2 linked regions of the Canis lupus familiaris genome follow. The protein of the gene in region 1 binds, or shares a complex with, the protein of each later gene. Links are inferred from orthologs where the notes say so. Each region holds a gene or a part of one and is shown on either strand. Other genes may lie near its edges. The genes, in order: MYO3B and ESPN.

What was found.
Region 2: the proteins of MYO3B (region 1) and ESPN are in contact, whole or in part, in a crystal structure (PDB 5ET1), measured with the Mus musculus proteins. The link is inferred for Canis lupus familiaris from reciprocal best matches to the Homo sapiens genes MYO3B and ESPN. Residues at the interface, in XP_017174528.1 of Mus musculus: Arg1223, Arg1224, Gln1226, Gln1227, Pro1228, Lys1229, Met1230, Leu1231, Ser1232, Ser1233, Asp1236, Thr1237, Met1238, Tyr1239, Tyr1240, Asn1241, Gln1242, Leu1243; in NP_997570.1 of Mus musculus: Leu35, Ala37, His41, Arg45, Ala67, Asn69, Ala71, His75, Asp76, Ala79, Thr80, Asp101, Ser103, Leu110, Arg113, Phe114, Thr135, Thr137, Ala139, His143, Tyr144, Ala147, Thr169, Asn171, Tyr177, Leu178, Gln181, Ala203, Asp205, Met207.

Annotation. Positions count from the first base shown.
Region 1 is NC_049257.1:15,296,634-15,312,608, forward strand, and holds part of MYO3B (myosin-IIIb), read left to right. Parts: intron 1-3,383; coding exon 3,384-3,510; intron 3,511-4,281; coding exon 4,282-4,492; intron 4,493-5,311; coding exon 5,312-5,459; intron 5,460-6,702; coding exon 6,703-6,856; intron 6,857-7,958; coding exon 7,959-8,047; intron 8,048-9,763; coding exon 9,764-9,893; intron 9,894-15,975.
Region 2 is NC_049226.1:60,783,984-60,799,958, reverse strand, and holds the end of ESPN (espin), read right to left. Parts: intron 14,675-15,975; coding exon 14,473-14,674; intron 13,464-14,472; coding exon 13,192-13,463; intron 10,486-13,191; coding exon 10,035-10,485; intron 8,714-10,034; coding exon of another isoform or gene 8,687-8,713; intron 7,587-8,686; coding exon 7,441-7,586; intron 7,358-7,440; coding exon 7,094-7,357; intron 2,601-7,093; coding exon 2,521-2,600; intron 2,423-2,520; coding exon 2,411-2,422; intron 1,222-2,410; coding exon 1,074-1,221; 3' UTR 364-1,073; downstream 1-363. UniProt on the Homo sapiens protein: Multifunctional actin-bundling protein. Plays a major role in regulating the organization, dimension, dynamics and signaling capacities of the actin filament-rich microvilli in the mechanosensory and chemosensory cells.

The sequences.
Region 1 (15,975 bases):
TTTATTGAGAGAATACCTGCATCAGTGAAAGGAGTGTTTTCTGAGAAAAAAAAAGAAGCAAAGACCATATACATCCTGTATGGGATGGAGAAAGCCTCTTTCTTCCCCACTTCTGCTGATGGTGAAAATGAATTGGGAAGCCAGCTGGAGGAGTCGTTAATTTTCTTGATAGTATTTCCTGTCCTGAATGAGCTTATTTTGTTTTTTCATAGAGAAAGTTGGAAACATAATAAATAAAAAGAAAGAGCATCATAGTAGGATTTGGTAGTAAAATCAGGGATGCCAGAAAAGACTGCATAGCTGGAAATCAGGCAAGAGGAAATGAGCAAAATGAGGAAGGTGAAAATCCTCAGACTAGCTATAGGGAGAAAAGAAGAGACTTGATCAAGAAGTTCTGGGGAGGGAGGTGTAACCCCACAGGTGAACACACTACTGATTGTCCTCTACCATGATTGTATGGGTGATGTGTTGACTTGAACAAAAAAGGTAGATGTAGGTTCCTAGCCCAGAAAGGAAAAGCTAATTAATACAAGGATAGGACTAAAAGAGGTGGAATGGCCTAGAAATGTCACATAAAGAGTACCCTACGTCTAATTCCTCCATAATGAGGTCAACATTGGACACCTTTCTCAAGTTCCCTTTCTGAACCAAGGAAGGGTATCCCAGCCTATCATGAACTTCAGTCATTTATGGTGTTTGAACCCCAAAGTTTTCCCTGAAGGTCATGGGTAGTTTTCTTTTTTAAAAGAGGAAATGTCTGAGCATTGTGCTGAAGAGAATATTGCCAGAGAAACAACCAGGGGAGAACTGCCATTTCCTTTGGGGATAATCTCCCTAGTGGTGAAATGCCTGGAAGCTCTATTTTGGGAAGTTTCATGGCTTATACTGATATAATAGGGTGTAAATGTGTGTTTTAATTAGAGGAAATACATTTCTTTTCTAAGAATATTGAGAGTTTAGGTAACTTTTTGAGAGAACTGGGGATAGAAAGAACAGATACAGAGCTCACTGCTGTAGTTTCTGTTTACCCTCTGGGAAGTTGCTTGTTTGTTGCATTTTTGAGCCTCACATTTTATTGATTAAGGTAATGAAGTGCTGTCATGTTAAATCCACACCAGCCCCAGAAAACCCATTTGGTAGATGTTCTCCTTAGCCAGTCTTAAGTTGTATGATTAAAACAGTAATTTTTGACATCAAAAACATGACCTCTTGCCTTTGATTTAGAAGTTTGAAGAACAGTATTTATAGTAGAAGCCTGGTTTAAAATCCTCATTTGTCTTTGTAGCATTATCAGGTATCCAGCAGATGTCACTATTACAGTCTGTTCAGTTGTCAGCTTTACTGAATAATGTTCACAGGAAGGCTCACTTTGGGAACAATGCTTCACCAATGGTCTAATGACAGTTCCTACTAGTTTGCTGCTATGGATAGTACTAAATCAAGTTTCTCACCTGAGTATTTTTTTGTGGAAGTAGCTTTCTCTATCTATAGGCATAAGATGCAGAAGTTTCCTGGCTATGTATTTGTCTCACCTATAGGAAATGCATAGGTTTAAATAAATATACTTTATTTTTTTTTTTTAGTGTTAATGCTACTTATCTATTTAACTTTCAATATAAAAAAGGACTTAGGTTATCTATTTTTACTCACAGTACTTCTGACATCAAATGCATGGAGTTTTTTTTCTCCTCACACCAACCAATTCTCCTATAATTCAGTTTACTTCTGATACTGTTTACCTAGAATTAACATCAGATCACACAGGTTAGGGGCTCAGTTCCACAAGACTGCCCCCACTTCAGACACAAATTGCAAATCCTAGGGTTCACCTACTAACCAAGCAGTTACAAAGTGGGAGATCTTGGGTCCCAAGACCCCAAATTTGATCATTGGATAAAAAGACTCAAAACTTGGGAAAACAGTTTACTTACTGGTTTATTATAAAGGATACAACCCAGGAACAACCAAATGGAAGAGATGCATAGGGCAAGGTAATGGGGAAGGGTGGGGGGGTACCACCTCTCACAACCCAGAGGTATTCTGAACTTCATCAATTAGAGGTTTTATTTATTTATTTTTAAATATTTATTTATTTATTCATGGGAGACAGAGAGGCAGAGAAATAGGCAAAGGGAGAAGCAGGCTCTTCATGGAAGCCTATTGAAGAACTCAATCCCAGATCCCAGGATCATGACCTGAGCCAAAGGCAACCGCCCAGCCGCTGTGCCACCTAGGCATCCCAATTAGAGATATTAATGGAGGCTCTGTTACATAAGCATAAATGATTAAATTATTGTCAGTTGGTGATTAACTCAATTTCCAGAAGGCTCCCCTCCCTGGAAGGATTCAGCTAAAAATTCCAACCCTTTAATCACATGTGTGGTCTCTCTAGCAACCGGCCATATTCTTTTTTTTTTTTTTTTTTAAAGATTTTATTTATTTATTCATGAGAGAGAGAGAAAGAGAGAGAGAGGCAGAGGGAGAAGCAGGCTCCCTACAAGAAACCCAATGTGGGACTCGATCCCAGATCCCGGGACCACTCCCTGGGCCAAAGGCAGACGCTCAACCGCTGAGCCACCCAGGCATCCCCCGGCCATATTCTTTAAGAGTTACCTCAGTGGCACAGACTCAGTTATGGTTGAAGGTATTAAGAATAACAGAGGATACTCCTTTAACACCTGTCACTTATAATTCCAGGGGTTGTTTAGCTCTTGTGCTGGAAATTGGTATGAAGACCAAATATGTGTTATTATATCACAATATCACAGATAATTTCTAGTGAGTCTGAATATTTCCTGACCTCATTCATAATTACATATTCCTTTATTGAACTTCAAAATGTTCAGTGAACCATCAGTGAATGCCTTGATAACTATTTCATAAAAGCTATATTCAAAAGTGGTTAAGGAAACCTCTGCTTTCTTATTTTGAAAAAAAGAACATACCTGAATTTAGAAGCTGGTTTTAGTTAGAATAAATGGATAAGTGGCTTAAAGAACAAAGATCAATTGTTCTTATGGAAGCATTTCAGAGTAAGAGGTTCATGTTGCAGTACAACTTTGTTCCATGTAGCATTGGTCTTAGGAATCCTAGTCCTGCATAGCTGAGACTGGGTTGTTGGGAGGTTCAGCTGGCAATAATGGGGGAAAAAGCATGGAGGAGGCATGCTTGCTTCTATAAGGCTGGACTCCGAAGTCACTCATATCATTCTACTTGCTTCTTTGTTGAGAATTTAGTTCCAGTGCCTAACTGCAGGGGAGGTTTGGAAATTTGTTTGTGTGCCCAGGATAGGAGGATGTTGGATTTTGGTGGATAACTACCAGTGCTATTGGTTTGTTGGTTTGATTGGCAATGACCAAAATGGTTCTTGCTGTCCTTTTCAGGAGGTGCACTCAGTGTATAGAATTTTGGCTGGAATTTTGAATATTGGAAACATTGAGTTTGCAGCTATTTCCTCTCAGCATCAAACTGACAAAAGTGAGGTCCCCAATGCTGAAGCTTTGGAAAATGGTAATTGTTTGATGTCTGTGCATTGTGTAATCAAAATGCATGTGTCTTTGACTTTGGTAGTTTCTAAAGATGCTGTAAAATATAGTGCAGCTGTGGCTGGTCCCTCTGCCGGCTCTGGGTGTTTTTACTAACTATGATTTCCCAAAGGATGTCTTGTAGAACATCAGTGTTCTTTTCATGAACTGCAAATAAGTGCTCTGCAGAAAAGAATTCCATGACAGATAGCTTTGGGCCATGGTGTCAACACTGGCTACTTTTGAAAATCATCTATAATTTTTCGAAAAAAAAAAAATACAAGAGGTGGATCCCTGTCTGAATCCACTAAATCAGCATCTGCAAGGGATAGTCAGGCACCTGTTTATTTCTAAAGTTTTATAGCTAATAATGGTGACACAGGAATGAGAATCCTGAGTTCAAAAAAAAAAAGTGATTTAAATAAACACCCGTTGTGTTAAAATGCAGCATCTTTTACTGTTTTTAATAAACTCGTGTGCTTCCTGGCTCTTGAATATAATCCCCAGCTATTTGACCAAAGACTATCTTCTCTCACTTTTTCTCATCAAATGCCTGTGAAGAGCTTTCAGAGTGTTTGGGGGATACTGTGTCTGTCTGGATACTTCTTGGGGTTAGGGACCTGGCTTGTTTACCTTTGCATCTGAAGTGCCTGAATAGAACTTGGCACATCGTAGATGTTGAGTCAATGCTGGCTGAATGAATGAAAGGATGAATGGGTGACTGTATTCTCTGTATCATCCTTACTCTTTATTGCAGCTGCCTCTGTTCTCTGCATCAGCCCCGAAGAACTCCAAGAGGCCCTTATCTCACACTGTGTGGTCACCCGCGGTGAAACCATCATCCGTGCCAATACTGTCGACAGGGCTGCGGATGTCCGAGATGCCATGTCCAAAGCCCTGTATGGGAGGCTCTTCAGTTGGATTGTAAATCGCATCAATACACTCCTGCAGCCAGACAAAAACATATGGCAAGTTCCCTTGGGAAGCAGAGGCCTTGGGAGAGCTGTCAGCGATCATGGTGTCTCTTAGAGTTTGCAAGAGGAAGTGTTTGGTCCTCTCCTGAGTTTCCTTTGGTGAAGCTCTGAGGTCTTTTCCTTTAAAAGGAGAATGGGATCTAGGAGAATGGAAGAATCACATGACTGAGCCATAATATGTAGTGTTTAAGAGAACAGGCTTGTCCAGGAGCTGGGCATACTGGGTTTGCATTTAAGCTCTACAGTTTGACCAGACCCATATTCCAAGTCATAGTTTTCTCATCTGTAAAATGAGAGTAATTAATATTCCTCCTCATAGTGTTTTTAGAATGAGACATCTCATGAAAAGTTTTAAAGCACCATATCTTATAGTATTATTGCTGCTGCTGCTACTGACTTTTCTTTCCTAAGCATTAGTGGTCTCTATATTGTGGGAAAATGAACAACAACAAATTCTAAATCGTATTCTTCCAATTAAGCCTAATGGGTGGGAAGGTAGAAGAATGAATGGGCAGCAGTTCTAGTCTTTTCGAACAGAGTACCTCCTCTCTAATATCTCTCTCTATGGAACTTCTGAGGGAGATTTTAAAGGGTTCTACTGCTTAAAAACAAAAAAAAAAAGTTGGAACTACTGTTGAAAGATTGAAGGAATGAATGACTTAAAACACAAACTATTTCTTCTCTTAGAGGCAGCTGAATGCTGCTTTCCATAAGTGGGTACATATATTGGTAAACATGTGGACACACATATTTTCATCATCCTGAGATAAATGTTTCTTCCACTAAAAGATTTTTTTCTTTACTCCCATGCAGTAGTGCAGATGATGGTATGAATGTGGGGATTTTGGATATTTTTGGATTTGAGAACTTTGGGAGAAATTCATTTGAACAGCTCTGCATAAACATCGCCAATGAGCAAATCCAGTACTATTTCAACCAGCATGTTTTCGCTCTTGAGCAGGTAATAGTGAACTCTGAAGTGATTAAATCTGATGGGGAAGGTGTCTGCAAGCTGCTCACAATTTGAAGCAGAAACCCTCTTAGGCTAACAGATTCTAAGGAAAATCCACCAAAGAAGCAGTCCTGTCAAAATAAATAGCCTAAAGTTAGCCTGAAAAAAGTCCTGATTTCTGTGGAAAGTTACATTTCCTCACTTGAGTGGAGCTGATGACAAGCTAGTTATTTAAATATTGCTTCCAAACTATTTCACGCACACTGTCCAAATTATTACATTCTCTTCTACTTTATTTAACAAAAAACATCCATGATTGTGTCCAAAATGACACAGGATGATCTTTAATCAGGGCACAGGTTCTCGTTCTTAACTCCCAAATAGGGCATCTCCACCCCCCCCCCCCCACCCTCATCTCCTGCACACCAGTTCCCACAGTAACTTGGAAGGGGGTATGTCTCCAGGGCAGGAGTAAACTATGTTCTTGGTTTTCTCCAAATGGAAGTCATTCTGCAATGAGTTTAATGGTAAGTAAAACAAGATGTGAAGCTGATGGGCCCAAAGGCTAGGGGACCTTCCCCTTCCACCCCAATTTCTGTCCCAAACCCAAGACTATCCTGTATGAAGTAGTGCAGCAATAAAACATTCTGACTGAGCCTTTGCTTTAGTGAAGACACACACGCTGTACTGTGATTACATAAACACAAAAACAGGAAGAAAATCTGTATTGTTTTTTTTCAGTGGAATTGGATAAATCTGTATCACCCTCCTCTCCCCTCCCACTCTGCACAAAATTTGACCTCCTTTCACTCAGGGCTCCTTGCATTTATTTCCCTGGGAAGTCTGGAGTTTTCTAGTTTTGCAGTCTGATTCCCTTGCAGAATCCTAGAATGTAGAAGTCTGCTTTTTTTTCCTGGTTTAAGCCATGTTTTATTTATCACTAAAATAACTTTTTCAGCTTCCTTTCTATTCGATGTCAGTTTCTAAATTATGACTTCCCAAGTTGGTTTTTGGAAGACAGCACTGGCCCTTCTTTTGCTGGCTTCAGCTGCCTGCCGCAGGTTGCCTATGGGTCAGACTTAAACCCAAAGTTTTAGCAGTGTTGTATCAGGAGAATCTTTGACTACACACATAAAACTGCCTGTATTCCACAGTCAGTGTTGTAAGGCTATAGAAGGCACGTGCCAAAGCAGCCTGGTGCTATGTAGACCAGTTTTGGGCTTAAAGAGATTCACAATCCATTTTCCTCCAGATGGAATATCAGAATGAGGGCATTGATGCTACACTTGTGATGTATGAGGACAATCGCCCACTCTTGGACATGTTCCTCCAGAAACCTCTGGGACTGCTTGCGCTTTTGGATGAGGAAAGTCGATTTCCCCAAGCAACTGATCAGACCCTGGTTGGTAAGTGTCTCTTGGGAAAGGCATAGTACACTCAGGAGAGAACTTGGTTCGTTGGTATTGTAAATCGGTATTTTGGCCACTTGGTAGTTTATGCAAGTGTAGACCCTGTTTTTAATGAATTGAAATTGTCAGCAAATGTCCTGATAGATCTTTGTCTTAAAGAAAACTCATCACCAAACCCTCCTCACTTTCCTATTGCTGCCTATTTCCTATCATTTTTATACCTTCAGCTCCCTTATTTCCTATAACCAATGCTTGCTTCCCCTCCTTTTTCATACCCTTCTCTCATATCTCTGCTTGGATCCCATCCATTTCTAGTCTAAATTTGTATAGAAGACCCTTCTGGTTTCCTGGCTTCTAGCTTCTTGCTTATCCCCTCTACCCTAGACGTCCCAGCTAATTTAGTCTTTCTAAAGCCACCTTTTCATTAGGTTACTATTGTCTATAAGATGCCGATAAGACACTTCCTCCTGACACTAATGGCCCCCCAATCCTCTATCCTTGTTCCTCTTGACCTTCTTCTCTAATCTTCAGTGTTGCATACAATCCCATCCCTTACTTAGATTGTGAGATATTTAGGGCAACAAAACCCCAATAATCTTTGTATCCCTTTAGTGCTTAGCACAGGGTGGAACAGAAAGTTTCAAGCCTTTTCCCCTGATAGGAACTTGATTGGTGGGAAAGATTCACTTCTAGGAGTTAAAATTGTCACCCTCAGTGGTTTCCTTTTACCTACAAAGTAATCAGAAGTTGCCGTGATAGGTTTATACCAGGGTTGTTTGCCTTCCATGGGATCTTCATGGTTCTTAAGCTAATTGGCTAGAGTTCTGGTGTCATCAGTGTCCATGCTGGGAGTTCTTAGAACAGAACAAGAGATCTTAGGGTATAGCCTGATACTAAAGACAACACAAAACAAGTAAATGAAGACTTGATTGTAAGCCCATTTCAATGGAGCATTTTTCTCCTCTGTTGTACGTATGATGATAGTATCAGGCTGCCCTGAAAACCCTTACTCTGGGTTACTCCTGGCTCAAGGAGCACCTCTTTGTTTGAAGAAGCAAACAGTTCTCATTGTAACTTTTACACATGAAAATCCACGCAGATAAATTTGAAGATAATCTACGATGCAAATACTTCTGGAGGCCCAAAGGGGTGGAGCTATGCTTTGGCATTCTGCACTATGCTGGAAAGGTAAGGCAAGTGTGATTTACTAGGCCTGAATTTGACAAGGGGTAAGTGTTCATACTACCCTGTCTGTGCTGCTCACAAAATTGCTTGAAGATTTCTTTCTCTTTTTAATTCTTCTGAACACCTAATCATAATTCCCAAACTTTCTCAGTGGTTCTGCTCACAGAAAGTCGCCCCTGGTAAAAAAGCAGTTTCTTGCTGGGGTGGCTATGGAGCTTCCATCTGCTTCTCACCTGAGGTTTGTCCTAGAAGTGACAGCTCTCCAGAGAGAAGATACAGTGTAGCGTTTGCAGTGGTTAGTGGACAATGTGTATATTCTGAAGTCCCTTGGAAATGTGCAGGTTAACAGAGGAGGGTTAATATCATAGTGGGGCTCAGTTTTTAGCACTTTAACTATATGTGGCTACAGGGCACCAAAACTGTCTAGATAAAAAGGGAAAAAATTCTCTTTGATGTTAAACTTGTATAACACTAACTGAAATTTCCATCTTTCTTAATTTATGCCTCAGTTTCATTTCAAGTTCCTGAAGCAGAGGAGTGACTAATTTAGGAAATTCTCTGGTTCTGCAGCCAATAGCTCTTTGCTCAGAGTTACTCTCAAAGGAGTCGTTGGAATCATAGCTCATTGGTTCTGGTGGGGTCTGCTGAGGACCTGGGTCCCACAAACAGGGTAGGAGTCCAACAAAAGGCATTTGGGATTTTGTTCATTTAAGATTTGTTGAAGTTGTTTTTTTATATTCATATCATGGTGTTGAAATTAATTTTACCTGACTGGAGGTTGGTTGAAAGGCAGTTCTAATATAAGCAAAGAAGATTGTGTTTCTCCCCACATAGCGTATAGTATCTGTTTTGAATCTTTGTTGAAATTGCAACTCAATTTTTAACTATTTCAGACCACCTCAGCACTGATGTCTGACCATATGTTAATGTCCCCCATGTCTGGGATACCCGCATCTATCCTGATCTCCACCTCCCATTCCTGTCCTCTTCCTTGCACCTCCCTGTCTCTCTGTCTTTTTATACCGATTTCCTGTTCACCCATATTCCCTTTCTCCCTTTTCTCCTTCCTTGATTTTAAGGGGAAAAACAAGATCGTTTTCTTTGTGGGCTCAGTGCCCTTTCCTGAATTCATTATTTCTCTGGAATGTTCCTTAAAATTCCTCTGACCTGGATCCCTTCTGTTGTGAGAACTGAAAATGACTCTGCATCCCTAAGTGATCACTCACATGTTGTGAATGCCTTCGGGAGCAGCAAGAGTACAGTTGATGATGAGCACGGAGCCCAGACTGCCTGGGTTTGGAAACCTGCCTGCTACTTGTGAAATATGTGACCATGAGCATATCATTTCAGCTTCTTGTTAAGCCTCTGTTTGCCCACCAGTAAAATGGAGATAGTAATAGTATTTACCTCATAAGGTGGGTGCTTTCCGCATAGTGGCCAATATATAGTGCTCAGTCTATTTTCATAGTTATTCTCACGTGATGTATCTTTGATATGCCTCTATTCCTCAAAAAGCACCTGACCAAGAAGTTAAGATAAATTGGCCTGTCAAAAATTACAGTTTTTTCCTCCTTATCTCATGGTCTGGATTTAAAAGCGTGGCTGTGTCAAGATAATTTCTCTACATTGGTCGATTAATGACTAACCTCAGACAGCTTTTCCAGTGTCACCAGCAATGGATGATACTGGCTAGTTTGCTATTTGCTATTCATGTTGCAGGTATTATACGATGCTTCTGGGGTTCTTGAGAAAAACAAAGACACTCTCCCTGCTGATGTGGTTGTAGTCCTGAGAACGTCAGAAAACAAGCTTCTGCAGCAACTCTTCTCAATTCCCTTGACCAAAACAGGTACTTGGAACCCCCTGACCTCCCTGGATCTGATGCTTCTACAAGCACTGCTGGAGTTTTCTTGTTAGTATCTGAGTACTTTCAGGGCTACACTACTACCATTTTTAACTTTAAGCAGGGGTGAAGGTCTATTCAACTAAATTCAAGAAAAGGAAAGTGATATTTTCTTTTGCAATTTAATTGTACAACATTAGTGTATATATAACACAGAGATACTTTTATAGCATTAACTCAGACTTCTCATTTTCTCTGCTTGCCTCTTTTCATTCTTCCAGTTATAAAACCGTATATTATCATTAATTCATGCTAAGCCCTCTACAGTGGTCTCAGTTTACCTAGAATTTTTGGGAAGATTATTTCTGTTCACATTCGATTCTAAGTGAAAGGAATGTGGTAAATCCAATGGTCGTCCAGTCATGGGGTCCTCAGAAATCACCTGGTCCAATTCACTACCCAGTCAGTGACCCCACCCCACCCCCCACTCTCTTGACCAACTTAGAATAGGTCCATCATCACTGGCCTACCTGCTTGGCCTTTGCCCACTCACAGTCATCTTCTGCTTAATGGCTTTTGTTAAGCTGCTCAGTCAGTTCTCAGGATTAGAAGCAGGAAATCAGGGCCAAAGAACCGAACTTCCCTGTCTTTGCTGTTTTGCCAAATAGATTCCCATTCTTTTTTTTTTTTAATTTTTTAAAAAATTTATTTATGATAGTCACACAGAGAGAGAGAGAGGCAGAGACACAGGCAGAGGGAGAAGCAGGCTCCATGCACCAGGAGCCCGATGTGGGATTTGATCCCGGGTCTCCAGGATCGCGCCCTAGGCCAAAGGCAGGCACCAAACTGCTACGCCACCCAGGGATCCCCTAGATTCCCATTCTGTCAAGTTCCTTTGATTTACCTGAGATCTGCTGCCTTTGGTTGGGCAGCTCACTAGGTCTTCTCAGAGCTTTCCTCTCAAGGGCATTCTGTTTTGAGGGTTTGTCTGGAAACAGCTGCGGGTACACTTTTGTGAAAGAAGGAGGAGAAGTCTCTTTATTATTGTTCATAATTTCCTTTTCTTTCGTCCCATATCCCTCTTGAAATCATTGGAAACCATGTCCAGTTTGGGGCCTTTGTATCCTAAAAGGGAGTGGCTGCCAGGTCTGATTTTTAGCAACATGCAAAGGAATGAAAAGGTTGGCTAAGAAAGAAGCCACAGTCTGCAACCTTTGCTTCATCTTAATTTGGAAAGAAAGATGAAACCAGTTCTTAACTTTCTTCAAACATGCTCCTTTAAACAAAAATAGTAGGGTGCCCATGAGAAAGCTTCCTCTACCTTTCTTTCCAGACCTCCCTTGGGCAGAGCCAGGATTTGATTCATTATCTCCTTATGAAGATATTTACCCTCAAACTGGTTCTAATGAGATTGTGCATCTTACGATGAAGGTCAGAATATTAAGCTTCTAAATTTAAAAATATCTGTATTCTATATTTTTTGGTTTTAATGTAGGAGAATTTTATTGGACAGAAGTAGTTTGTTTTGTTTTTGCAGAAATTACAAATATTTGTTTCAGAGTGGCCAGATGTGAGGAGTTCCTCACCAGACACAGGTCTTATCAGGCATCTTATGTACAGGGCAAAGATACAGCCATTATTAATACCCCTAAAATGTACTCTTTGAAGTAGAATATATCCAGATGACCTGTCAGCTGGCACTTAAACTGTCTCATAAATATGAGTAACAATTTGTCAAAAATGTTCAAAACCTTGGAATCTCCAGTTTTTCAGCTGTTGGCAAAATAAAAACAATTTCTCAGCTTGGGCCACTAGGTGGCGCGAGGCAAGAAATCAAGCTCTGCAGCAAGCCTTGTGTTTGCCCTTGCCCGCCTAAAAGGGGAAGGAACAGAAACAAAGAGCTAACCTCTGCCTTTTTTTTTTTTTTTTTTTTTTGCTTTGCTTTTTACTTTTCGCTTTTCCCTGAAGGAGTGTTCCTGCTTTCTGAATCGTGTAACCTTTTCTGAATCTTGTCTTCAAACGGAATTCCACACCTCCTGGCGGAAACAAAGTGACAAAGAAGATTGGAAACAAACATGTTTTCCTTCCTTGTATTCCTGAGTCACATTTTGTGTATAATAATTTTTTTTGAAATTCATTTGAAATAATTTATTTTGAAATCCTAAGCTTTATTTTCTGCACATTTTGAGTATAGCTAAGAAGCCAAAGAAACACATCAAAACTAATAAGCATGATTCTGTTTTCTTTTTCTGAAAGTGTTCATATAAAAATGCCTTCAATCAACATGTATAGAACAGCTTCTAATAATAAGACACCAAGACAACAAGGAGGAGATAAAGATAAAATGGCTTTGCCCTAAAGCACCTGGAACTTGCCTTTAGCTTTACTAGAATCTATGTCCTTATGTTGATACTTGCCCTCAAAACATCAGTTCTAAAGAGATTGTGCATCCAATGTTAAAGGTCAGAATATTAATTAAGATGCTAAATTTTAAAGCATCTATATTCTGTATTTTTTGGTTTTGGTATATTACAGCCTTCGAAGTTGGGAGAACCTTACTGGACAGAAATAGTTGATGCTGTTTTTACTGAAATTGCAAATACATGTTTCAGCACGTGTCCCTTATGAAAGCAGACATGTGGGGTGGCACCTGGGTGGCTCAGTGGTTGAGAGTCTGCTTTCGGCTCAGGTCGTGATCCCCGGGTCCTGGGATCAAGGTCCTGGGATCGAGTTCCGCATCAGGCTCCCCATGGGGAGCATGCTTCTCTCTCTGCCTGTGTCTGCTTCTCTCTGTATGTCTCTTAAATAAATAAAATCTTTAAAAAAAATGAAAGCAGACATGTGTATATCTCAGCATTCTGACTGGAAGTGAGGTCCCACACATCCTGGCATTTTGAAAACAAATGTGCCAATATTTTCAATGCATGAGAAACCATTTTCTTGTGTTTTTTAAATTTTTTATCCTGCTTCAGACCCTTAAACACTTGTCTTATTAAAATTAAATGGATCACGAGTTCAATGAACATAGATATAGGTATTTTACAAACTTCTTCAGGAGATGAATTACAAAGAGGAGGGGAAAAAAATCAAAGTTTGGAAACTTTGGAGGCTGATAGCCCCAGACTTTAAAAAGAGGTCCAGGGATCCCTGGGTGGCGCAGCAGTTTGGCGCCTGCCTTTGGCCCAGGGCATGATCCTGGAGACCCGGGATCGAATCCCACATCGGGCTCCTGGTGCATGGGGCCTGCTTCTCCCTCTGCCTATGTCTCTGCCTCTCTCTCTCTCTCTCTCTCTCTCTCTCCCCGTGTGTGACTATCATAAATAAATTTAAAAAATTTAAAAAAAATAAAATAAAATAAAAAGAGGTCCATTGTTGGACTCCTCAGTTTTGAGATAACATAACTCTCTAGGATGTTGGCAGTGCTCTGACTTCTGGTCCCCATGGTAGTTACATGTATGTTGGTTTATATCTGTTATGTTGAACATTTGTTTCCCACACTTTTCTGTACATGCATTCTGTTTCACCGATAGCACTGTTATTTTCAAAAAGAGAGGATGTCTTAAAATGCAAAGAGAAACTTTCTTTTTCCTAGATTTCCTGTTCCATAAAGTTGAGGTTTCCTGGTAAACTACTGCAGCCCTTTGCTTTCCCAGACAGGTATCAGAGAACTGCCATTCCTGTCTGGTTAAGTTAGCCTCCTCTCTGGGCTGCTGGGCAGGTAGCAGTCTCTCTATTAGTGTTTATAAAACAGAAGTATTGGTTCTTGGTCTAATCTATTTTTTAATTTTTTAAAAAAAATATTTATTTATTCATGACAGACACAGAGAGAGAGAGGCAGAGACACAGACAGAAGGAGAAGCAGGCTCCATGCAGGGAGCCTGATGTGGGACTCCATCCCTGGACTTCAGGATCACACCCTAAGCTGAAGGCAGGTGCTAAACCACTGGGCCACCCAGAGATCCCCCTTGGTCTAATCTCTTAAAGAGGTTGAAAGGATTAACCTCTGTGTCTTTGTGTGAAACCATAATATAAAATCAGTGCAAGGAATCAGGTTGACATTCTCCTAGTTCCGGTACCCACTTTCCTGTTCATGTTGTACATCCCAAACTACTGAAAAGGTTAAAAAAAAAAAAAAAACGGGACGTGAAGTCAGGAGGTGTAGAGTCATCAGGAGACTGGGCTCCTCCCAAATCCCTGTAGCTCCCTTAGCAGCAGCCTCTTCTTCTGGCACACAGCGGCATGTGGCAAGAGAGGTGCCTATGCCTGACAGACTGACACACTCTGGTTCCAAGGCACTCACTGGCCATCAGGCACACGGAGGCAGCTGCAGACAATAGGGATTCTCAGACTTACAGGACCACTCTCTTGCCTCTAGATGGGTCACTTCAGACATGCTGAAATTTTCTTTGTAATCCTTCCTATTGATAGGAAGTTCTCTGAAGATTTCATGTGTGAAAATTTGATGTGGCAGCAACATTGCTTTCTAACCCTTCAGCTGGGACTTTTCAAACTGAATGATCTAGGTAGAAAAACATTAAAAGGAAAGATGTTATAACAAGGTTTCATCGCATATTTTCTTGTTTGGAGAACGTTCTGCTTGCTACTAATAAACTAGAGAAAAGTTCAAAAGGCTCAAGGAAAGAAAGAGAAGAAATTTCAAAAGGAACTTGAAAAGTCCATTTCTGTCTTTGAATCATGAATTCTGACTTCCAAGGAGGGGTTTGGAGTTTTAAAGGAGTTAGGAACTTGGGAAAAAGAAAAAAAACCAAGAGCAGTGCCAGAGTGAATATTTTCTGAGCTTCCAAGACTGGTTTTGTCTCAGAATCTAGAACTGAGTTTGGTTCTATTTTCTCCTATCCAAGCTCTCCCAGGTAGTTTCCTTGGAATTTGATTTGAAGTGAAAATCAGCAGCAAATTCTCTTTGACTTCCACTGGTTCCCCTTTTTATATGGATGAGGGGGGCAGGATGAGCCCTCACATTATATCTGTAAAGGACTAACACCATCACTGCTGAAATACTTGATATTGCTTGTTCCTGGTTCTGTAACTCCCCAAATTGAGCATTCATCTCTTAAGAGGATGTCATTTGGTAACTGTCTCTGAGTTTTCATTTTCCACTTATGGCTTCTCCTCCATACTGGCAGTTCAGAAATGGGTCTAGCAGGATGAGCTGACTCTAAATGAAAGGTTCCAGGGTCACAGACACGGATACTGCTTGCCTCCTCCTGAAACAGCAGCTTTAATGAGCCAACCCGGTCAGGAAGCCCTGAGGGGTGAGTTCCTCCTCACACGGAGACCTGCTTCTATTTAATTTGACAGTGTTTTTCAGTCAGTAGATAATTATATATTCAGGGTCTGTCTGGATACGGTGTTGTGCATAGGTGCTTTCTAGAAGGAATAAAAGAAAATCCCAACCCGAATGGTCAGGGACATATAGTACGAATCCTAAAATGTATAAAGTATGCACAAAATAATGTAAATTCTGAAATAGGCATGTAAATCAATAAATGAGGACAATATAAGCACTGAGTCTATGTAAGTAAATATAGAAGAAAAAAGTCACAGAAATACATGTCAGTGTGCAATAGAACATCTTTTAATTATAAAGACTTCTTAGGAGAGTTTTTTTGTTTTCTGTTTTTTGTTTGTTTGTTTTAATGGAGAATAGAGAAAACTGAGCAGTCTGGGAGTAATGAGGCATTCTGAGCCAGGGCCTACAGCACTGGAAAGGAGAGCTAGGCAGTGGGATATTTAAGTGACTAGGACGTGAGGAAAGGACTCGGAGCAGAGGGAAGGAAGCAAGATAGATAAATGATGACAATCTACTGAGCTAAGGTTGGGCTTCCAATGCCAATCTGAAACACTGTGGGTAGTCAGGATGATCTCCTGAAGAGAAAGGTTTCAGGGTGAGAGAGGAAAACTTGTGCAGGGGTGTTAAAGACTGACTAGGGAGAACCAGGGTACACCACACATGTCTGTACGGAGCCGTGTATGAGTAGATGCTCAATAAATACTTTTACATTCTATATTAGGTCTAGCATCCATTTTGAGTTCATTTTTTATGAAGTATGAGGTTGAGGTTCATTTT
Region 2 (15,975 bases), on another chromosome or scaffold:
TAATAAGCTCCCGGCGCGGCCCTGCGTAGCAGCGCCCAGCGCCCTCCCCGCCGCGCGACCCCGGGCTTCTGGTCAAGGCCGAGAGGCCGACGGCTCAGCGGTGCCTGGGCCTGACCTCGCTGAGGCCCTCATATTAAATCTGTGAAGGAAAACTACTGCGTGCTGTTTCCGCGGGGCCCGGCCTTGGTTTCCTGGGGGCGTCGGAAGGGGCCGGAAGTCTCGCCGCCCAGGGTCGGGCACCCACGGTGGAGGCCAGTGCGGCGCCTGGCTCCCAGCTGCCCCTCCCGCTCGGCCGTGGCCCAGTTACCCCGATAGCGAGAGGAAGTCGCGGCGACGGCGCGAGAGAGCGGACGTCAGCCCCGGTGGCTGAGAGAGCTTTAATGGGGGTGCGGGATGGCGGGGACCAGGAGGGGGGAAGCAGGTGGAGACGCGGTGCAGGGCCCCCCGCCCCCGCCTCCCCGCGGGCGCTGCGGAAGGGGCCGGGGTGGGGGGGCAGAGGATGGGCCCCGGAGCGGCAGCCCCGTCCCGCCGGGCAGGTTGCTGTTTTCATCGCTTCTGGTAAACAAATGACTGAGAGGAAGCCCTCGGCGGGGATGGGAAATGTGGCCCGGGCGGGCCGGGCGCAGATCTGGGTCAGGACGGGAGGAAAACCCCTTCCCCGAGCGCGGGGCCTGCCTCCGCCCAGGATGCGCCAGCCACGCGGGTTCCGGGGTGCGGGGGAGGGGGCTGCGGCCCGGCGCACGCCCCGCGGGGAGACCAGGTCGCCACCCACGGGGCCGGGAGAGCTCTGCGAGGCGTTCAACGAACATGCAAATATAAGTAAATCAACATGCAAATCAGCAGCATCTTTTTGCGTCAGCAGCTGGCTTGGGCACTTTTTCTGGGCCCCAGCGGCGGTGGCGGCGGGCGAGCTCCAGCGTCGCCCCGGGCTGGGGGTGCGGGGGCCGGAGCGGGGTCAGGGAGAGGTTCCAGCGCGGGAGGGGAAGGCAGCGCGGCTCCCAGCCCTTCCGCCCCGAGGCCAGGGCGAGGCTGGGGCCCCTCGAGCTCACGGGGCTGCGAGAGGAGGGCTGCATCTAGTACTTAGCGATGTCCCCCTTCTTCAGGATGATCTGTCTCTGCCAGGGCGCCAGCTTGGTCTCGTCGTAGCCCAGCGTCCGCAACTTCTCCGACTGCTCTTTCTCCCTCTGCAGCTCCTCCTGCTTCTGTCGCTCCTCCTCTTTCCTAGGCATAATGTAGGGGCAGAAACCCCCCCGCAACTGTGAGGGGGGTGGGCCAGGCACCCTGGGGGGGTCACGGGTGGGGGCAGGAGCTGGGTTGCCGAGGACAGAGGGACTAACTCGTGGTGGCCAGGGCAAGGGGTTCTGGGGGGCAGAAGGGCTGGGGGACCGGGGACTGGGGTCTGGTCAGGAAGCATAAGGGCAGGGCTGATGGGCACAGAAGGTCTTGGTTGAGGAGCTGGGTGAGTGAGAGGCTGTGGATGAGTTATTGCAGGCGGGGCTTTTACTGGAAATAGTAGTGCTGGGTCAGGAGGTGTGGCAGAGGGTGAGGAGGGGGTGTCTGGGGACAGGACCTGATATGGGGGGCTGGGGCTGGGCTGCTGGAGAACAGAGGGACCACAGTACTGAGATGCAGTGGTGGGTAATTCAGAACAGTTATTATAAAATAGGGGCTGGTGCTCCTGGGTGGCTCAGGGTGTGATCCCAGGGGTCCTGGGATCCAGTCCCACATGGGGCTCCCCAAAGGGAGCCTGCTTCTCCCTCTGCCTATGTCTCGGCCTCTCTCTGTGTCTCTCATGAACAAATAAAGTCTTAAAGAAGTAGGGGCTAGATCTGTGCTGCTGACAAGGCAGCCACTAAATACATGTGGCCACTAAGCATCTGAAATGTCAGAATGAGAAGCATTGTAGGTGTAAATAGCACCTGGCATTTCAAAGACTATGTTTATATGTGTGTGTGTGTACATATATATATATATCTATATATTTCATAAATTTTACATTATCTATTGAAGTGATACTTCGATATATTGAGTTAAATAAGATACACATGTTCACCTATATCTTTTTACTTTTTCAAAGTGGCTACAAGAGAATTTAAAATTACATAGTGGCTCGCATTATATTTCTGTCTGCACTGGGCTAGATTCCTGGGGGCAGGAACTATGTTTTGAGGGACAGCGCAAGGTTATTGACACTGAGGTTGGGTTAACCAAAGGTTGTTAGGGCATAAGATATAGACTTTGGGACAGGGGCTTATTGGGGGAGAGAGGTCTGGTGGCATCATTGGAAGCAGAGAGGTTGTGTTACAGACTAGAGTGACAAGGAGATGTGCTCAAGATGGGGCTGGATGAAGAGGCAAAAGACTAAGGAGGTTTGGGGAGGGGTGACAGGTCTGGCCCAGTCCCAACTCACCGCCTCTGCTCCCTAGAAGGAAAAAGAGACAGCATTATTTGGTGCCACCACAGCAGACACAAGATCAAGACATCCTACCAGGCCCTGAAGCTTCTGATTACCCAACTCACCTCTCCTCTTCTAGCTTCTTCCGCAGGAGGTCTCGCCTCCATGCAGGCATGCTGGCCAGCCGGGCTTCCTCCTCTTCCTCCTGAAACACAATTGTTGAGCTTTAGGACCAGCATGGGCTAGGAGGTAGGGGGCCAGAAGGGGCACCCCCAACCCCGGGAGACCTGCAAGAGTCAGGGACAATGGGATACAGATGTTCTTTCACAGGGCAAATCGATAAAGTTGCCTGGCCATGGTCTCCTTAAAGGGCTCTGCCCCCTTGTAACTCCAGCCTCCTGTGTCCTAGAGGGGGCGCCAGAGAGGTCAGACCTAAGGTGTAGGAAAGGACCAGAGAATGAGCTTCTCCACTGGGGCAGGATGACAGATGGCCCCAGGCCCCCAACCCAGACTCTGGGCAGAAACATCCTTGGGCCCCCACAGGCTCAAAGTGGCCTCCACTGGGAAGAATCTTCTGGGCCATGTGTGTCCTGTTCCCAAGTGGAGTAGACACTACCTCTACCACTGTGTGGCTGCATTGACTTGGCAGGAGCAGGGGAGCGGGCATCCAACACAGGCGGCTTACAGCAAAGAGTTTTATTACTTGGATGTTTACAGAGGAGAACACGTCACACAGAACACTACACACGTGGCTCCCTTGACCTCAAAGAAGTAGCTGTGAATTCCAGTGAAAAACCAAGAGAGGAGAGCCACACTGCCCCAAGGGGGACCCATGGTCCCTCACTCAGGGGGCCTGCTTCTTCAACCTGGCTCCAACACAGAGCTAGGCAGGACTGTAGGACCGGGGGGGGGGGGGGGGGGGGGGGGGGGGGGGGGGGGGGGACAGCTGGCTTGCCCTGTGCCCTGCCCTGCCCATTCTGGCCACTGCCCCACATTTGGCCATGGTGGGGTTTCAAAGGCTGTGGCAGCCTGGTCCTCCTGGGCACTCTGGGTTTTCCAAGGCCACCCCGCCGGCTTCTGGGTTCTTCCTGCCGGCTTCTGGCCTCCGGAGGGCATCAGACAGGCATCTGGCCCGGGATTAAGATGCTTGAGTGGAAATTCCGAATTCTCAGATGTCAAAGAGCTCTGCCTCCTTCTCCTTCCAGAAGGAGAAGCTGCGGTCAATATAGCGGCAGATGTCCTCATTGCTGAACTCGCCCATCTCAGACACCAGCTCCAGGGGATCTTCGACAGGGGCTTCAGGACTAGGCGGGTCCCACGTGGGGGGAGGCGCGGCTGGCGGAGGTGGGGTCGGAGACTGCGGCGCAGGAGCTGGGGCCTCGGGCTGCCCCTCGGGCCAGTCCACCGTGTGGGCCGAAGCGACCTTTTCCGCGGGCTCCTTCTCCTCCTCCTCTTCGTTCTCCTCCCCCTTCTCCTCCCCCTTCTCTCGCTCCTCCTCGGCCTCTTCTTCCCGCGCCGGCTCAGCCTCCGGGCTGTCTCCAAAGAACTGGCGCCTGAGGTCCTCAAAGCCGTCGCTCCAGCTGCGCCGGCCAGCCTCCACCTCCTCGAGCACGACGCGGTGGAAGCGGCGGATGAGCTCCCACGGGTGGCTGCCCAGCCGGTCGAACATCTCGTAGCACAGCAGGTGGCGGAACTTGCGCTCCTCTCGGCTCAGGCCCATCTCGAGCAGCTGGAAGTAGCCAAGCATGAAGAGGTCGAGCGTGAGGCTGTCGTAGCGTGGGGGCGCGCCGCCGTCGAGGGGCGGCAGGAAGTGCTCAGGCCAGTACAGGCCGTGCGCCAGACCCGAGCCGCACGGGGGGCGCGCGGGCACCTGCCGCAGCAGGCTCCGCCAGTGGCCCAGCAGCTTGCCCACCACCTGCCGCTGCTTCAGCAGGCGCAGCAGCCGCCCGTCGGCGCCGTCGCCTGCCGGCGGCCCGGGTGCCTCAGCGGCCTCGGGGACGGAGCCCGCGCCGGCGGCCACCACGCGGGGCAGCAGTCTGCGTAGGCGCGCCTGGGCATGGCGCCCGGGGCCGCGGAAGGTCCACTTGCGCCAGTGCTCCAGGAAGAGGTAGACGATGCGCTCCTTGCGCATATCTATGTAGTCCTGGACGCCGCGCAGCTCGGTGGAGAGCGGCGGCCGGCGCGCCAGCTGCTCCGGCTCAGGCGGCGCCGCCTGGTGGCCGGGCGCGTCGGGCGGGCCCGGGGCGCTAAGGGAGTCCCCCGCGGCCGGCAAGCCGTTGGCGGCGGGGGCGCTCGCTTCCCCCGCGCCGGCCGCCACGTAGTCCTCCTCTAGGATGGGTTCTCGGCCGGAGGCGCCGGCAGGAAGCGAGAGCTTGTGGCGCGAGCCGCGCGCGGGCGCGGAGCCCTGGGCGCGCAGCTCGTAGACGGCGCGGAGGTGCTGCACCGAGACGCCGCACTCGAGGATCTCGCGCGCCACGGCCTCGCGGCACCAGCTGAGCGAGTGCGAGCGGCCCAGGCAGAGCGGGCCCGGCCGCCAGGGCGCGTCGGGCAGCGGTGCCAGCGGCTGGCCCGTGTCGGCGGCCAGCAGCTCGGCCAGGTGCGCGGGCCGGCCGCCCAGTGCGGCCAGCAGCGTGGCCATGCTCTTGAGCAGCGTGGAGATCTTGCTGCACCAGGCAGGCAGGCTGACGGCGCGGCCGTGCATGCGGCGCGGATCGACGGTGAAGCGCGGCGCCGAAAGGGCGGCCGAGATCGGCAGCAGCTGCTCCAACTCCAGCTCCAGCTGCTCCAGGCGCGCCTCCAGCTTCTGCGCCTTGTGCAACACCTGCAGGTTCTCGATTTGCTGCTCGATGCGGAGGATGTCGGCTTCGGTCATGAGCTCGCCGAAGGGCCCGAGGATGGCGTTGTGCGCGCTGGAGTACCTCCAGCCCTCGCGGGGGTAGCAGCACGAGCTGGCGGCCGTCAGCTAAGGCGGGGAAGACAAGAGAGGGGAGGGAGGCGCGTCTCCCTCTGGCCCGGTTCCCGCAGCGGCCGCCGGGGGCGCCATTTGCATGTCCCGGGTGGTGTAATGGCTCCGCGGGACTGTGTTGGCGGGGATGGGCCGAGCTTGGCCGGCAGGTGGTTACACTGGGGCGAGGCTTCAGCCCAGGCCGCTACTCCGGGCGCTGGCCAGTGTCCTCTGGTTGCTGGCGGGGTCGTTGGGCGCCGTTGCAGAGACAGGGCGGGCAGACGGAGTCTCCACACCTGGCCAGGTTGCTCATTACACCACCGAAGGAACATGCAAAAGGCGTTGAGGCTGCGATGCAAGGCTGCCCCTTCCCCACCCTATCTCAGGTCCGCATCACCTGCAAGCCACCACCGCCCCCCCCCCCGCCGCCCCCGCCATGGATGACCCCTTCTCAAGCGCCGCCTGCAGCCCCAACTCCCCCTGCGCACGCTAGCAGTGCTCTAACGCCAAAAGAGCTGTCAGGCAGTCCCGTACCAGGAATAATAATCAATTTATGGAGCTAGCTGTGCCAGGAATTTCCGAGTTTCATTCATTCCTCACTTGAGTGTGGGGCTTCTCCAGCTGGGAGTTGGGGGGCTGTCCTCATCCTCACCGGCCTGTCAGTGCATCTACAATGCTTTCTCATAGGCAAATAGGATAAGGCCACTTCCTCCACTTACACCCTCTCCCAGGCTCCCAACTGCTGCAGGAGAAATTTGTTTTCTTCAAAGCCAGACCTTATGATCTGATGCCACTGACCTCTCTCCAGTTCCACCCCTCTCCTACGGTCAAGGAGCCTCCTTGCTCTTTGCCCTACTCGGTTCCCAGGCCACCTCTTGCTCATCTCCCAAGTCTACCTTGGACATCACTTCCTCCTTCCCTAACACTGCCCTCAGCCCAAAGAGGATGGTGGGTTTAAGGCTGCCCCAGACCTCTGCATGCCCTATCACAGTGCCACCTGTCCTGTGACAGCCCAGGTACTGGCCTCCAAAACTCAGGCTCTCACATTATCTTGTTCTGTATCTTTGGGGGCAGTTATCACCCTACTGAGGTGCTGTGTTTGCTTGTTGGCGGACCCCAAGCCGCCCCCTCCCCACGCGGCCACCTTGAAAAGGCCCTGACACATTCATTATGAATCCCCAGAGGCTACAACAGTGTATGTCACATACATAGCACCCAAGAAACATGTGTTGAGTGGATCAATGGCAAACGCCCTGCCAGCCAGTAATGAGCAATCATCTGACAGATAAGAAAACTGAGGCTGGCTGAGTCTCGGTATCAGTGGCTGGAAAGTGGCCATGCAGGGGCAGGGCCCAGGCTAGTCTGTTCGCAACCAAAAGCCTGTCACCTACTGCGTGTGGTCCCTGGACCAGCACAGTCAGGAGCTTCCTAGAAGCATGGGATCTCGGTCCCACCCAGGGCTCCTGAATCAGAATAGGCATTTTTACAAGATCTCAAGCAACCTGAGCTGCCTTAGAGTTGGATGAACTTTGCCATCTTACTAAAGGACATGCTACTGGAGGTGGGGGTTGGGGTGGAGACTGGGAACATTCCCAGTGGACAGGCAGATCGTCCAGTCCTGCTATCTGCCCCCACCCCAAGGTTACGGGAGCTGGCTGCAGTGGAAGGGACCAGCAGGCTGGGGTAAGGTGGGGGATGGGCCAAGGGCCCCACCGCAGACCTGTGGGCCGTCTGGGAAGCCCCACCCCACCCACCTTCCGCCTCTGTTCTTCCTCCTCCTGCATCTTCAGCTGCAGTTTCCGCACCATCACCTGGCGCTTCCACTCAGGGATGGGCCGGCCCTGCTCGTCGTGTGTGGGGATGAGCGCCTCCACATCCAGCTGAACACCAGGCGCCGGGGTGGCAGGCGGTGCCGGCGCCACGCTGCCATTGAGCAGTGGCTGGGGCCCTGCAGCCGGTGGGGTGGGGCTGCGGGCCCGTGAAGGCGCAGGCGATGCCTGGGGCAGCGGCAAGTCTGGCTGCAGGGAGAAGTGGTGACACTGAGTGCCTGGTGAGCAGGGGTGAGAGGAGCTGGGGCAGGAGTGCCCGGCCCACTGCCTACCTGGGAGATGGGCTGCCCGCTGCCCGAGAACACTGTCGTCAGCCCTTTGCTCTGCGGTGTCGGCTTCAGACTCTTGCCAGCCTTGATCTCAGCCAGTAGCTCGGAGTTGTCACCCGTCGGGGACATCATGTTGAAAGACTTGGTGCCTGCACAGAGGCAGGAGAGGAGGTGCTGGCCGCTGGTGGCCCGCCGACCCGCACCTGCCCCTCTGCTGTCCCCTCCCCAAGTCAGGAGGTGCCCAGGCCCTAGATGGCAGCTCTCCAGATCCCAGGCTCCCTGGGCGGCTCTCAGGGGCGCCAAGGGGGCATCCCCGCTCACGGGGCCCCACCATCTTCCCAGCCCTACTCACGGGACATGGGGGCCCCTCCTGGAGGCCTCTGGGAGTACATGCTGGCTCCTGGCCCTGCGCTGGGTACTCCAGAGAATGTCTCCACCCAGTACACTGACTGACCAGCTCTAAGACACTACCTGGGGGCCAGCCACCTGACCTTTGTCCTGGGTTCCCTGGCTCGGCCCTGCCGGGGTGGAGTCTCCCTCCAGCCCTCTCTGCATCAGCAAAGCTCAGTGACCCTTGGACTGAGTCACCTGGGGCCTCCATGGCTATATGGACTCAGAACCCTGGATGCCAGAGCCCAGCCGGTCTCCTCCCCGCCCCCCATACACACAGACAGACACACGCGCAGACACACTGGTTGCAAGCCCGTAGCACACTTATGGCAAAGCGCTGCTCAGCTCTGGGGGACCTAGAAAAGCGGAGCCCTTACTAAGGATATGGGGTGAAGGCACCCAGGAAGAAGGGCCAGGTGAAAAACATGCAAATATCCAGTGCTTGGAGTTTGCATTTTCTGACAAGGCTGGCAGAGGTGACTGGGGTCTGGGAAGGGCTGTCTTTAGAGACTGAGGAGGGGGTGAGGGCTGGGTGAGGGCAACAAAACAGGCCGATGGCTTTTAGGTTCCCCGGCACTGGGGATCCTAGAGCAATAAGCAGGAAGGGTAAAAAGAAAAGGTGCCAGGCAGGCACTGGCAACAGGTCCATTTTTTTAGGCAAAACCGACAGCCATGGGCAGAATTTGTGGGTGTGCATGCGGGTGTGGTGGAGGGAGGCAGGTAGCTGTAGTGTGGAGGACCCTGGCCTTCTGGCCCTTGGCCCTGCCCTTTATAAAGGGTCTTTGGGCTTTGACTTCCCCGAGCGTGCCTTGGTCCCCGCCCCGCACCTCAGCCAGGAGCCACGCACGCAGCTACTCACTCTTCCTGTGCCTCAGGACTCTCACTTCTAGGGACCGAGAGGAGAGAAGTGACAGCGAAGTTAGGAGAGGTAGGGGGCTTGGGTGAGGCTAGGACAGCGGGGGACAGCAAGAAGAGGGCGGGCAAGAGGAGGGGGAGATGCGCAGAGGAGGGGAGAGAGGAGAGGACAAATTTTCCAGCTCATGTGACCCTGGCTCAGGCTGCTCTGGGGCTCTGCAAGGGTGGTCCGCCCAGTTCCAGCGCTTACTGGTCCCTGAGGATTGGGTAGGGCTGCCACTGGCCCTGGCCCCCCTAGCAAGGGCCTCAGTCTTGGCATTGGGCTGGGAGAGGGCACCCAGCCCAGGCTCTGCTGAGAAGGGGTGTCTGGAGAAGCCCAGTCTATTTTTTTCTGTTCCTAACTTCAGTCTTGCACCAGATGGACAAAGCTAGCCCCAGAGGTGGGGGCCGTTCTGGAAGCTCAATTGGTGATGAGTGTGCTACCATGGGCTCTGGTATGCAGAGGCTGAGGCTCCTTAGGTAACTGAAGGAGCCCAGGCTGGTCCTACCCCGGACTATTATAGCCTTGCACTCCTAGTTAGGGAGATGAAGCTTAGGGAGATGTAGCACTGAGTATCAGCCCCCCTCTCCCAGGCTTGGGTGGGAGCATCAGCACCTAGGCACCACCTCCTGGGCCTTGCAGGAGCCCTGGCATACTACATACTGACCCATGTTACAGAAGAGAAGCTCAGGAATCCTGCTCACCACTTTAGACCTTACAAAGGATGTGGGGCAGGGCAGGGACGGGGAAGGGGTCATCAGGAGGGAAAGGGCAGGGCATGGTGGGTCACTGGCCTAGTCCCCATAGCCAGGTTCTAGCTGGCCTGGCCTGGGACCCCCCCGGGGGGGGGCACGGGGATCTGGCTGGGAAGAGTCCCTCAGGCATCTAAGAGCTCGGGCTGTAGCTAGCTTGAAAGAACAAGAGAAAGAGGTGAGGAGCAGAAGAGAGACTTAGGACAGATATGGGGCAGGAAGAAGGTTGGCCAGCAGCTGCCTCCTTGAAACTAGTTCTCCCTCTGAGAGCTCCCCATTAGCACCAGCTCATTAGAAACACCAGCCAGCAGAGCTGGGAGGCCTTCTCTGCTGGATGGGACATGGGCCTAGGGACGGAAGGGGACCGGACTGAGAGGTCACACTCAAGCGACTCAGAACCTTCCCTTCGGGTCGAGCCCTCACTGGGCTGGGGGCTGCAGCAGGAAGAGCAAGTAGGAAAAGAGAAGGCACTAGGGCAGTCGCAGCTGGGAGGGGAGCGATGGCGAGGTTTCCCACCCCTCCAGGGCTAGCGCCGCCCCCCACCCTCCGCCCCTACTCACTGCCAGTGGACGAGGAGGAGCGACGCTGCCCGCAGCCAGGGCCGGCGCCCTCGAAGGGCAGGGGCGGAGCAGGCGGTGGCGAGCAGAGGGCCTCCGGCAGGGGCGGCGGGGGCGGCGGGGGCGGCGGGGGCAGCTCCCTGGACGCCTTGGGGTCCGCGGCGCAGCCGTTATGCACGGGGTTCCCGGGGAGCAGCGCCGCCTGCGGGGGAGCGGAGGAGCTGGCGAGTGAGAAGCCGGAGGCCGGGCTGGGTCCCCGGCGGCCGGCGGGCGCGGGCGGGCAGGCACGCACCTCCTCGCTGTGCGCCATGCCGGGGCCCGCGGGCAGCGGCTCCCCGGGACAGCGGCCCAGCTGCCGGTAGTAGTCCCCCGTGCTGGGCTGCTTGCTGAAGGCGCGGGGCTTGCGGCCCGAGTCCTGCCTCCTCAGCCCGTTGTGGCCGTCGCGGGAGCTCAGCTGCGGGAAGACAGCGGTGCGGGGGCTTCAGCCACTGGTTACCGATGCCTCCCACGCCCCGCCCCCCCGGCTCGCAATTCCTGGGGCTCGCGGCCAGCGGCCGTCGAAGGGCGCAGCCAACCGGGCTCCCGGACCCTCTTGTTCTCAGAGCGGGGATGGGGCGAGGGTCCCGGGGAAGGGCGGGCTCGGTCGGCCTTTCAGGGAGGGGTTCTGGGCGCGGGCCAAGAGCCACAGGGGCCCCCACTGAGGCTAGAAGGGGCGGGACCAGGGGCGGGTTGGTCCAGCCCAGTCGCCAGGGGGAGCTGGTGAAGGGGCAGCTCGCAGTTTGGGCAGCGCTAAGGCCTCAGCCTCACCCAGCTCCCGGCCACCGGACTGTCCCGCTCCTCCCGCAGGCTCTGCCGAACCCTCTCCTTCGGGGACCCCGGCTCCCAGGCGGCCCCACGCAGAGCCCTCGTCCCGTTAGGCTTCCGCTGGCCCAGGGCTCTCGCCACCCGTCCCCGGGGCTGCTCCTACCTGCGCCAGTGCCGGTGGCCCCCGCTGTGCACCTGGTGGCGGGGGCGGCCTGGACCCAACACCTGCGCTACTCGATCCTTCCTCTCAGGTTACAGCCCAGCCCTTGCCCGCCCGCGCCTAAGAGCGCCTATGAGCTCTGCCGGCCTGACATCACCCGAGGCCCGCCAATCCCGGGTTGACCCACTCGCACCCATAGGGGACGCCACGGGGGCTCCAAGTGCATCATGCCACAGCCTGCCGCTGCGCCTTACCTGTCCAGCGAACCAGATGTGGATACGCCCCCAGTGCCCCTCTCCCTCCGCTAGGCGCTGGGCATCCTGGCCTTCAGCCCCCTCTGCCTCCCTCAAACTGGCCCCTCCACACCGGGTGGACAGAAAGCGGGCCCGACCACAAGCAGTGGAGCCCCCCGTATTTGGTACCCCCGGGTTCCGGGTCATGCCCCCGCCCTTCCCCTCCCTTCCCCTCCCGCATCTGGAAACCATCGACATCCGCGTAAGTGACACCGACACCCGCGCCTAAGCCTCAGGTTTCAGGGGCGGCCAGGCGGGCTCGGATGACAGCGCGGTGGCCCGCCCCGTCGCAGCTGCCCCCCCCCCCCGCCCCCGCTAAGCCCAGCCCAGGGAACAGGACATGGGGCTTGCAGGGCCAAAGGCCGAGCCACCGTGCGGGGGGCTGCCCCCTGTTCCACCCCCCGCCCCTGCGTCCCTGCAGTGGCCCCGAACCTCCAGGCCCCACCCGAATGGGCTCTCGTTGCAGGAAACCCGACACCACAGGATTTGTTTTCTGGGACAGTCCGCCCCCTCGGCGCCCCCTGCAGCCCCGAGGCGCGGATGCCACGACCCTGCTCCCGAGGCGGTCAGGCAACTGCGGGGGGGGGGGGGGGGGGGGGGGGACGAGGAGGGGGGCAGAGGCAGGGGCCGCGGGCACAGTGGGCACACACAAAGGGCCCTTTGTGAAGCTGCCCAATGCCTGCGGCCCTGCACGCACGCACGGGGTAGGGGCACGGGACCTCGACATCCTGGTGCTCAGGGGAGTGGAGGCAACTGTCTGGGCCACCTGTCCTGTGGCTTTGGGCAGGGCTCACACAGCCGCCCTGAGGGAAAGTTGGTGACCTGTGGCCCCCTCTGGTCCTCTCCACCTCAGAGAGATGAAAGGGGAACCCGACTGACAGCTTGCTCCAAGATGGCACAAGGACAAGGTGGAGCCCCTGTGGTGGTTGTCATTCCCCTCCCCAACCTGGTGACCTGGAGACCTGGGTCACCTGTGGGCAAACTGGTTACTCAGCTCCACTCTGGAGTGGCTTGCTTTGGGCTGGAGAGATAACCAAAGGTTAGGGCTCCCACAGGACCCTCGGTGGCCTCTACCCCATACTCAGCCACCTGTGGTCTCGGGTTGTCCCTCCCAGCCCAGCCCAGCCTTATTCTGCCCTGCTGGCCAAGACCTAGGCTCCCTGCCTAGGACTCTCGGCTACTCAGAACAGCTCTCTGGCTCCAGAGCTTCAGCCAGGAGCCCAGAGGCCCTGACATCCTGGCATTGCATCCTCTGTGCCCACACTGGACACAGACACCTTCCCATAAGCTGGCTTCTCCCCCATGGCTCCTATCTCAGGACCACCCCTTCCACCAACCTGGCCACTCAAAGCCCCAAATTCGGGAGCCAGCTTCAGCCTCACCCCTCCCTCAGCCCCGCCCTGAGTGCTGAGTCCTGTTAGTGCTCTCTCTCCCTGCCTCTACCCTCCTCCTGGCCCTTCACAGCTGTGCCACCTGCATCTCCTACCTGGAAGACACCCCCTTGGGAGCCATTCTCCACCTGAGCCTGGGGCTATGGGCATGTGCAGGTCTGTGGAAAGGCAGTTTGCACATATGCTTTGCCAATTCCAAGACCACCCTGCCACTCTGTGCAAGAGGTGAGGGAGGACTCAGCTCCCTGAGAGGCAAAACTGCCTGGTAATATGTTCCTTCACTCACCCTAGCTCCCGAGAGGGTAGTGGCTTTGTCTTCCTCATCTCCCTGTCCCCCGTGTCGAGCCCTGGGTCCCCATGGGGCTGGCCAGGAGCTTTGACTCTTGAATAAGCCACACTGGCCCAGAGACCCCCACCCTGTGCCCATGAACCAGGCAGATTCTTGGCCTCAAGGGCTGCCTATCAACCCAGTCTTGGTGCTGGGAGGCGGGCAGGGGGTTAATGTTCGCTACCTCCTTCTTGAGGGCCTCCGTCTCCACGTGGCGGAGTTTGTTCTTGGTCTGTATGTAGATATCAGCTGCATGTGGCCCCATGGGGGGCTGGGGAGCTGGGTAGCCTGGTGGGGGAGGGGGCAGTTGGGTGCTCAGGGGTGGGGGCGGTGGAGGGAAACTGGGTGGTGGTGGCAGTGGTGTGGTTCTCTCCGTCTTGCCCCGGGGACGGCCCAGTTCCGGGCTCAGCATGTCCATGTAGCTTTGTATATCTGCAGCTCTTGAGCTGGAAAGCCCTGGGGAGGGAGGGATTTGGGAGTTTGCAGAGAGGCTGTCCCCCGGGACTGAGACCCCTTTCTACCCGGAAGCAACCAGCCAAAGGGTAAGGTGGGTTTGGGATGCGGCCAGGTATGGCTCCACTGTGGGCTTCAGCAGTGCAGGGCCCACCTCACCCCACTTCACCCCACCCTCCCCTGCCCTGCCCTCCCCTAGCTCTGGGTGCATTGGGGAAAGGACATGCACTCAAGTTTGGAGGGGGACCCCCCCAGGGGGCTTTCCACTCCAGGGTATGGAGAGAGCTCCTCTGGTCACACCTAGCAGGGTGGCGTGGCAGGAGCATGGACGGCCACCCCCCAAAACCGCAGGGCACCCCACCATCTCTGCAGGCCCCTGCCTGGCGGCTTGAAGCAGGTATCACAGGTAGATGGACACTCAAGCTCAGGGTGTGGTCAGCGTGTGTATACACACATGCCTGGCTTCTGCCAAGTGTTTGTACATTCACATGTTTGTGAGCACATGCATGGGTTCTTTGTATTTACAAATGTGTTTGCATTGGTCTGTGGACACGGGGTGCATTTCTGCGTGTGTTTACATGTGCACAAACATCTGGAGTATGAAAATGGAAGGCTTTGCTGTAGTGCATGTGTGTGCGTGCATCTGCAACCATGCTGTATGTGTGGTTGTGAATTCCTATCTGTACACTGTGCCTACACATGTACAAGTGTGCACTTTTGAGTGTGAATAGGTGTGTGTAAAAGTCTGGGTTACACTGTGTGTGTGAGGATGATTACTCATTTTCAGGGTGCATGTGGATTTTGTCTCTATATGCACATAGGCTTGTGTTGTGATGAGCACACACAGCACAAGTGTCATCTGCCTCTCACCAGAACCAGCAGCCCCTCCTGGTGACCTGGGCAGCCTCCAGCGCCAGCCGTGGGAAGAGTGTGCCTGATGCTGGCCCTCAGGGACCCATGGCCAGTCCCAGTCTATGCTCCCCCTTCCCTCTTCCCAACCTGGCCCACTCACCGCGTGGGGGGCGCTGACCCTTGATGCTGGAGTGGCTGGAGGAGCAGGAGTCATAGTTGGAGAGGGTGCTGGTGGGTGAGCTGAGGTCAAAGTTCAGTGGCTGGACCGACATGGTGGTATTGGGTGAAGACATGCCAGAGTCAGGCTGCTTGGTCTCCAGCTCCGCAGATGGATCCCGGGACAGAACACGGTGCTCCACACTCTGAGCAGGAGGGGAGGCGACGAGGACAGCCTGACCTGAAGACCGGTGCTCTCCAGGCCAGGGTCCTGCTCAGGCATGTCTTTGCTGTGTGACCTAGGCTGAGCCGCTTCTTTTTCTGGGCTTTCTCCCCATTCTGAGAATGTCTCTCAGGTTCTTCCCAGGCCAAGATTCAAGCCCAGCCCCCTGGCAGCAGGACCACAGGTTCCTGGGAAACTCCTACCCTGGCCACACCTTGCTCAGGTGGGGTGGAGAGACTGTCAGAAGGGGGGGGCCATCTGGACCCCAAGGGGAAGACTGCCATGGCACCAGCCTTCTCCTTCCTCATCAGAGAGACTGAGCTCCACTGTATCTGTGGTGAGGGGCTCAGGTGCCACAGCCACTGGGGGTAGGGGAGGATGCAGGGACCCCATAGCTTACATGAAAGACTAATTCTCCACTACCTGGCCAGTAGCCCTTGTGCCTCCATGCCCTACTGGGGCAGATTCCAACCCCAGCCCAGCCCCACTCTCCTGATGGGGCCCTTGGAGAAAGGGAGGGGCTTAGGGTGGCCCAGCTGAGTCTGGTGGGCAGTCCTAGGTCAGGCCGTAAGCCTGCTGTCCCCCCACCACTGTCTGTGCCCCTGCCCACAGGCCTGACCCTCCTGGCATGGGGGTGGGCTGGGGTAGGGGTCCTGCTTACGTTGCCCATGCTGGCCTTGCTGCTGGCAAGCCTGCTCGCTGGCTCTGGTGGCTGCCTCCTGCCCAAGCCTGCTTCTCCCTGCCCGCGGCCCTCTCCTTGCCTGAGAAGTGTCACAGGCCCCTCGGGAGTGGGAGGCAAGCCTAGCACCAGGTAACAGCTCAGCAGTCATGCTCATTGGCCCTGTAATTAGGGGCTCTGTGGGAGTGTTTGCCTTTTCTGGGGCAGCAACCTGCATGGTTTAGGTCTGTCACTGCTGCAGCTGGGCCTGTCTGGGTGAGGGGACCAAGGCCCCCCCTACCCCACCTAGTTCAGGGGGGCCAGGGCCAGCTGACCATTCCGTGAGCCAAGGGAAAGCATAGGGGCTGGCCTGGGTGGAGGTGGGAAAATGCTCTTTTTGTGGCTGACAGCATGGGCACTGGGGGTGCCCAGCCCCAACCCCATGGATAACAGAGGTTAGGGGCACAGCCTCTCCAGCCTGGAATGCTGGCTTCAAATGTCACCTCTCCCACTTACTAGCTAAGCGACCTTGGGCAAATCACTTATCCTTTCTGTACTTAAAGAGAGAGAGCCTGCAGTGGGGAGTGGGGGGGGGGGGCAGGGTATAAAAGGCCAGAGGGAGAGGG